Saccharomyces cerevisiae S288C: one gene and its partner. Changing the gene in region 1 together with any one later gene gives a genetic interaction. Each region holds a gene or a part of one and is shown on either strand. Other genes may lie near its edges. The genes, in order: CEP3 and MIF2.

Region 1 (4,351 bases):
CCACGCCCTTTAGTGCATTTAGGGATTTTCATTACTGCTAATCCAAGACTTGAACCGGATTGTTGATCAGCCCCCTTCTTAAGCTGATTGCTAAACTCCCTAAGGGTTAAGGAATTAGTAAGTTTAGGGAGGAGACAGGGAGATTGTTCAAACGAATAGCGTAGATTTAACTGATCATACCTCAGAAACTAATTGTATAAAATGGCAAATCTGGATGGGAATAAATTTGACTCATGCCAGGTAATTATACCTTGGACTTGTATCATAGAGATATAGATTATACACATTTAGAAAATTAGCCAAAAGAAAAATGCCTACCTTGTATACTGATATCGAAATCCCACAATTGAAAATCTCTTTAAAGCAACCGCTAGGGTTGTTTATCAACAATGAGTTTTGTCCATCATCAGATGGAAAGACCATCGAAACTGTGAACCCAGCTACTGGCGAACCGATAACATCCTTCCAAGCAGCTAACGAAAAGGATGTAGACAAAGCTGTGAAAGCTGCCAGGGCTGCTTTTGATAACGTTTGGTCGAAGACATCTTCTGAGCAACGTGGTATTTATCTTTCAAACTTATTAAAACTTATTGAGGAGGAGCAAGACACACTTGCCGCATTAGAGACTTTAGACGCTGGTAAGCCTTTCCATTCCAATGCTAAACAAGACTTAGCCCAGATTATAGAACTTACAAGATACTATGCGGGGGCGGTCGACAAGTTCAATATGGGTGAAACCATTCCATTGACTTTTAACAAGTTTGCATATACTCTAAAAGTTCCTTTTGGCGTTGTTGCTCAAATCGTTCCATGGAATTATCCTCTAGCTATGGCTTGTAGAAAAATGCAAGGTGCCTTAGCGGCCGGTAACACGGTTATCATCAAACCTGCTGAAAATACCTCTCTATCTCTACTTTATTTTGCTACTTTAATTAAAAAAGCAGGTTTTCCACCTGGTGTTGTCAATGTCATTCCTGGTTATGGTTCCGTTGTGGGGAAAGCTTTAGGAACCCACATGGATATCGACAAAATATCTTTTACGGGAAGTACTAAGGTTGGCGGCTCAGTATTGGAAGCTTCCGGCCAATCGAACCTTAAGGATATCACACTAGAATGCGGTGGTAAGTCTCCTGCTCTTGTATTTGAAGATGCAGACCTTGATAAGGCTATAGAATGGGTAGCAAATGGTATTTTTTTTAATTCGGGACAGATCTGCACTGCAAACTCAAGAGTTTATGTTCAAAGTTCGATCTACGACAAGTTTGTTGAAAAGTTTAAAGAAACTGCAAAGAAGGAGTGGGATGTTGCAGGAAAATTTGATCCGTTTGATGAGAAATGCATCGTTGGTCCAGTTATATCAAGTACACAGTATGACCGCATCAAAAGTTACATAGAACGTGGTAAAAAGGAGGAAAAGTTGGACATGTTCCAGACCTCTGAATTTCCTATTGGTGGAGCTAAAGGCTACTTCATTCCCCCAACCATCTTCACTGATGTACCAGAAACATCTAAGTTGCTGCGTGATGAAATATTTGGCCCGGTTGTGGTTGTTAGCAAGTTCACAAATTATGATGACGCTCTGAAGCTGGCTAATGATACTTGCTACGGGCTCGCCTCTGCGGTCTTCACCAAAGATGTCAAGAAAGCGCACATGTTTGCTCGCGATATTAAAGCAGGAACTGTTTGGATCAATCAAACCAATCAAGAAGAAGCTAAAGTTCCTTTTGGCGGATTTAAGATGAGTGGTATTGGTAGAGAATCAGGCGACACCGGCGTTGATAACTATTTACAAATAAAATCAGTCCATGTGGATCTTTCATTGGATAAATAATTCGTTACATAGTTATATAAATGTTTACATGAGATTCAAAGCTTCATATTCTATGAAATCTTTATTTTTTACGGCTTTAAATGAAGTGCGCGCAGCCATGTAAGCTAAGCGTAAGAGAATGAAATATTATAACCAACCTTCAGAGAGCAGGTGATGACAAAAGTTACGAACACGAGTTTGCATCCTAATAATAATGTTTAACCGTACCACTCAACTGAAATCCAAGCATCCCTGTTCCGTGTGTACGAGGCGAAAAGTCAAATGTGATCGTATGATACCGTGTGGAAACTGCAGGAAGAGAGGACAGGACTCCGAATGTATGAAATCAACAAAACTAATAACGGCTTCATCTTCCAAGGAATATCTCCCTGACCTATTGTTATTCTGGCAAAATTATGAATATTGGATAACGAATATTGGGCTGTACAAAACAAAACAAAGAGATCTTACTAGAACACCAGCTAATTTGGATACTGATACTGAAGAATGTATGTTTTGGATGAATTATCTTCAAAAAGACCAATCATTCCAATTGATGAACTTTGCTATGGAAAACTTAGGTGCTTTGTATTTTGGTTCCATTGGAGATATCAGTGAATTATATTTGAGGGTGGAACAGTACTGGGATAGAAGGGCAGACAAGAATCACAGTGTAGACGGCAAATACTGGGACGCACTAATATGGTCTGTCTTTACCATGTGCATTTATTATATGCCAGTCGAGAAGTTAGCAGAAATATTTTCAGTATATCCTCTCCATGAATATTTGGGTAGCAACAAAAGGCTCAATTGGGAAGATGGTATGCAATTAGTCATGTGCCAAAATTTTGCACGCTGCTCATTATTCCAATTGAAACAATGTGATTTCATGGCGCATCCCGATATAAGGCTCGTTCAAGCATATCTGATTTTAGCCACTACAACTTTCCCCTACGATGAACCGTTGTTGGCAAATTCGCTCCTAACACAGTGCATCCATACCTTTAAAAATTTTCATGTGGATGACTTTAGACCTTTACTTAATGATGACCCCGTTGAAAGCATCGCTAAAGTAACCTTGGGAAGAATATTCTATCGCCTGTGTGGATGCGATTATCTTCAATCGGGGCCACGCAAACCAATTGCACTTCATACAGAAGTATCCTCCCTATTACAACATGCAGCATATTTGCAGGATTTGCCTAACGTTGATGTTTACAGGGAAGAAAACAGCACAGAGGTCTTGTATTGGAAAATCATCTCATTAGACAGAGATTTAGATCAATACTTGAACAAGAGTTCTAAACCTCCCTTAAAAACATTGGATGCTATAAGGAGGGAGCTCGATATTTTTCAATACAAAGTAGATTCGTTGGAAGAAGATTTTAGATCAAATAACAGCAGATTTCAAAAATTTATTGCACTTTTTCAAATATCTACTGTTTCCTGGAAATTGTTTAAGATGTATCTCATTTATTATGATACCGCAGATTCACTACTAAAGGTTATACATTATTCTAAGGTAATCATTAGTCTTATTGTTAATAACTTCCATGCAAAAAGTGAGTTTTTCAACAGACATCCGATGGTGATGCAAACCATTACGCGCGTGGTCTCTTTCATCTCCTTTTACCAAATTTTTGTGGAATCGGCTGCTGTCAAACAACTTTTAGTAGATCTAACTGAACTTACTGCAAATCTGCCCACAATATTCGGTTCAAAACTAGATAAACTAGTTTACTTGACCGAAAGGCTCAGTAAATTAAAACTTTTATGGGACAAGGTACAGCTTCTAGATTCAGGTGATTCGTTTTACCATCCTGTTTTCAAAATACTACAAAATGATATTAAGATAATTGAGTTGAAAAATGATGAAATGTTTTCTCTCATAAAAGGACTCGGGTCTTTGGTACCGTTGAATAAGCTTAGACAAGAATCGTTGCTTGAGGAAGAGGACGAAAACAATACGGAACCAAGTGACTTCAGAACTATTGTAGAAGAGTTTCAATCCGAATATAACATTTCTGACATACTTTCCTAACTGCAACCATATTTCATATCCTTTGAAATCTCGCGGATGAATCGTTAAAGGAAAGGGCATACACTTTCAAATGAAACACAATCACACTCAGGAAATAAACAAAAAACTTTGGTATTACAGCCAAAACGTTTTAAAGTTAACACCTCTCAAAAACTTTGTATAGATCTGGAAGGTTGGCTATTTCCACGACATCCTTGAGAATGTGTCTAGGGGCCAGGAACCTTCGTTTGATACAAGGGAAGAGAACGTGTTCTAGTAATGAGGATATGTGTTCCTTTCTATTTATAAACTGGGCTTTTTCGTCTTCTGACAACGATGCATCAGATGTATCGACTTTCGGAACCATATCAGGTATATAGAGTAATGCAATCTCTCTTAAAATACCATCTAGACACTCTTGTTCATCCTCCCAATCAACTTCTTTACCCAGGCGATATATAAAAAATGGTAACTTGACCAGAGATGGAATGTAGCCTTTTAAAAGTAGTGGTAGAGATTTT
Region 2 (4,243 bases), on another chromosome or scaffold:
GCTGTCTTTCAGTTTGCTTTTTTTGCACTTGCTCCTGAATTTGCTTCACCTCTTCTTGCTGTTTTGCTCGTTGATTTTGCTCCTGCAGTTGTGCCTTTTGCTGCTCTTCTTGTTGTTGATTTTGCTGCAGTTGTTCCTGCTGCTGCTGCTGCTTTCCAGGTTTATTGGATATCGAATATCTATGATACGGCAACCTTTCCACCTCGGGCACCGTAAATGAAACAGCAGAAGGTAATGAAGGTGAAAACCTTTTTTGCTGGCCATTTGTATTAGCTGGCATACTGGTGTTGATCTGTATTTCATGGCCATCTTTGTTCCTTTCACTATTTTGCTTCAGATTGGCAAAAGAGAAATCCCTCAAATTTGTGCTATAATCGTTTTTGTAAATATTCCTCCTATTAGAGTTGGATTTTGATTGATCTTCATGACTATCAGATCTTTCGAAATTTGATTCATCGTGAATACTTTTTCTTCTCTCCTTGTTGGTCAAAATTGAAACCGGCACTTGTGTTGTAGGCAAGGATGAAATTAAGTTAACTCCCTGCTTACCGTTCATATTCTGATCTGAGTTCACTTTTTCATCCGTCATCACACCTAATAACTCTTTGCTGGTCCTTTAGACTTTTATTTAAATATGCTAACTAAGTGTTACTTTACTGTTCTTTCTCTTTTTCTGCTTTTTGTTCTCTCATCTACGAAAGTTCGGTGCGAAATTTTACGTGATTCATTTTCTTACAGAAAAGTTCACATGTTTAACAGTATAAGCGTATGGACCTAGTTATATTTCTTCAGTACATAGCATGCATAATGAGAATATTCACATCATAATTACCCAAAAGTGTCAAACGTACTGTCTAATTCTTTGTCGTTGTCATCGTTAGCGTCTTCTGAAACGGTCACTTGAACGAAGAACATTTTGGCTTCATCATTCCCTCTATTGGCAATCGCGTACTCGTTGAATGCCGGTATTTGGAAAGTGGAACCTTTAACGCTCAAGAACTTGTTCTTACATACAGTTACTTCGACTATTCCCTGTATCACGTGGAACGTAATATATGTCCTAAATGAGTTGCTTAATTTCTTTTGTCCAGAAATAGCTGGTAGTTTTAATATGCCGCTAGCAAAATATTCTTTATGCTTATCGAACATTATCTCAAGGGCAAAATTCTCGTCCTTCGTGTCTTTTACTTGTTCAGTTTGCGACAAATTGGGCGCGAATGCAATAATTTCATCCTTAGTTTCCTCCTTAGTGTCGCTAATTTTCACATTAGCTTCCAGTATTCCATGTTTCAGCCACTCGCCATTTTCTATGCCTCCAGATTCTATCCTTTCTATAATATCCTCGTTGGGATCTTCTGGAATCAAATTTTCCTTTGCATTTGGATCCTTCTTTGGCCTTCCTCTTGGTCTCCCCGTAGGTACGTAGTTGTAAGGTCTGGTTGGTGTAGGTTTTTTTTTTTGTTTCTTCCTTCTTTGTGCTGCCAATATCTCCTCTTCGTCTTCAGATTCATCATATGTGACAATTTTGTCTATGTCAAGAACGGGTTTATTGGACTTCCTCTTATATACTATTTTTTCGTTCCTCCAATACTGCAAAGGCGCCACCTTGACTCTTGTAGATTTCCGAAGCCCGTTTCTATCAATTATTGAATCTGTACGAACCACATCACTCGCTTGTCGTCTTATATAATCATCTTCATTGTCATTTGTGTTCACCTCAGCCTCCTCTTCTACTTCTTGATAGGTGTTATCTCCATCTGAATCACTGGCTGAATCCGAGCCTGAATCCAAAGATGAGTCACTTTCAATGTAATCACCGTCCTCTTCACTTTCAGGTATAAACCCGTCATCTTCTAATTCGTCTTCTAATAATGCGTTATCAGATGTGTTTAAAGAAGTGTTTACTCTATCATCGTCATCCTCATCAGCAACCAAATCAGGTACATCTGAATAAACATTCTTATTAGTGATTCTATCAGGTGTCAACCTTACAGAAGGGCTTTCTGAAGTGTCAAGGCTATACCGAGTGGAGTACTTTCTTTTATATGTAGGTTTACTCAATTTCTGTGTGATTGGTGTGGCAAAATCATTGCCTCTGATATCATTTTCTTCTTGTTCTGGTTCTTCCTCAATAGGCTCGAAATCATTGGCTGGACTCAGGAAGTTTGATTGATGGCTTAACAAAGATGATCGTCTTGATCCATCGCCTTTCCCAGATGGGCTTTGGACAACTTCATCATCTTGAGATTTATATGACTGTAGAAATGGCGGTAATACGTTCTTAGTATCGCCATTTAACGTTGATGGTAAGAAAAGCGATGATTTTCTTCTGCTTTTCCTTCTCATACTGATAAGACTAGTTTCATCATCTTTGAAAAAATCATCAATATTTTCCATGCTGTATTCATCTTTGGGTATATCTTGCTTAACATCAATACCAGTTTTACGGGACTTAAGCCCCAATTTCATATAATCCATGAGTGAAGTGCTGTCCTGTGCTAATGTCTAACTTATTTGTTTAACGTATGTATTTTTCTAACATTCATTTATTTACATCACCATTTCTAACGCGTTATATTATTTTTCTCGAAATTGAGAAAAAACCCAATGCAGTTTAAAGAAGCCTAGCGTTTATAACCTTTATAGAAAAATCAGATAGGTTTTATTTCTTCTTCTTACCCTCAATTCTGAAGTAGGAAGATTCTTCCCAAAATATGTAGTGATTTTTTTCAAGAAAACTTTTAACCTGCAGTCGAACCTTTGAGATCCCGCCGATGCTGTGGATACCTCTACCAGTTACCACGATTAACGGGCTTACAAACTGTACTTTTGAGCCATATGAGTTTATGTTGTGGGAGTTCAACTCTCGTTCTGCTACCTCTTTGGACCACCACTTATTTAATGCAAGTTTCAGTGTTGAAACCGCTTCACTGGGAAGAAAACCATGGAAATCCAATCTGTATGTTTGAAACAGGTTATTTATAACCGGCACAGCTCCCTCGGGGGTTTCTTTGTCATGAAGGGGCAATTTATAAGTATTTCCTACCTCATTTCTGCGGGAAATCTGCGGTGTTGAAAATTTGGGTAAATGTTGCTTACAATTATCTCTGGATGTCAAGGTAAAACCTTCGTCAAAGTTCCAAGTTTTCGTAATATTCTTGTCATCTTCGATCAATAAGGACGATATGTTCAACACCTTTACAACATCTCCATCATAAAATTGCAGGCATTTTTGCAAAAATTCATGGTTTATGGCTTTGAGATCGCGATTATCTGCAACTAATTCATTTAACTCAACCATCTGCGGACTATCCAAGGAGTGCTTATAACTCCTTGGCCTTTTGAGACTCTCTTGAGCAACATTTGCGGATTCTTTACCCTTTTTCAAAACGTGGGCAAGCCCCGTCGATGATTGAACTCGACCACCTCTCACAGTCGTATTAGGACTCCGTTTTACTTTGAAAGTATCCACATCTTTTTTAAAATCCCTTTTGTCGTAATAATCCAAAATGATTTTGATGATCGCCTTTACTGTATCAAAACCATTTTCGGCTAAGTATTCCTGCGCAATATTTTTGGGAGCGTCGGTAAACTTTATTATACTCTCTATGTGATCGTTTGTTGATTCCCAATTATTTTTCTTTTCGTTCCTTTTTACGCTATCAGGAGAATTTGCTTGATTGTCTTTAAGTTTTTGCAGGGTTTCATAATTCAGAAGATCAGAAATAGTCGATTCTACGGACTTCTCATTTATTACAAACTGATCTTTTATAACGCTGCAATCAAGCTGAGGAAACATGTCGTACAGTTGATGTAATTCATTATCAACTGTAGACTTATCGTCGTTTTCTTTTAACAGCAAGCCTATCGTTAAATCCAAATCATTATTGTTTTCAAGTAAATGTACTTGTAATTTGGATTTGGAAATAGCTGGAAACATGTCCATCAAGATTGACAATTTAGATTCATGGTCATCATTGTTATCCATACTCATTGCATGATCTTATATGCACGATAAATGAGGTGTCATAATTGCTTTATATTGATATACTGAAGGCGAATATCGCTGTTGAAATTTGAATTTTTTCGCATTTTTTTTTTTAACAGTGAATATCTTGGTGATAGAGGCAATTTCCAAACTGTGAAAGCAATATATCCTGATACATAATTCAGTACGTATGTTTGTTGATTTATATTTCATACGTATTCCTCTACGGTTTCAAACGTCTCCCCTGAGGCTTGT

Evidence for each region.
Region 2: of CEP3 (region 1) and MIF2, changing one enhances a phenotype caused by changing the other (phenotypic enhancement), as found in Saccharomyces cerevisiae (2 studies listed by BioGRID, with this or other methods).

Annotation. Positions count from the first base shown.
Region 1 is NC_001145.3:596,832-601,182, reverse strand, and holds CEP3 (Cep3p), read left to right. Parts: upstream 1-2,024; coding exon 2,025-3,851; downstream 3,852-4,351. Other genes in the region: aldehyde dehydrogenase (NAD(+)) ALD3, read left to right, coding at 311-1,831; mismatch repair ATPase MLH1, read right to left, coding at 3,988-4,351. UniProt on the Saccharomyces cerevisiae protein: Acts as a component of the centromere DNA-binding protein complex CBF3, which is essential for chromosome segregation and movement of centromeres along microtubules. CBF3 is required for the recruitment of other kinetochore complexes to CEN DNA.
Region 2 is NC_001143.9:271,629-275,871, reverse strand, and holds MIF2 (Mif2p), read right to left. Parts: upstream 2,479-4,243; coding exon 829-2,478; downstream 1-828. Other genes in the region: phosphopantothenoylcysteine decarboxylase complex subunit CAB3, read right to left, coding at 1-589; CUE2 (Cue2p), read right to left, coding at 2,663-3,994. UniProt on the Saccharomyces cerevisiae protein: Component of the kinetochore, a multiprotein complex that assembles on centromeric DNA and attaches chromosomes to spindle microtubules, mediating chromosome segregation and sister chromatid segregation during meiosis and mitosis.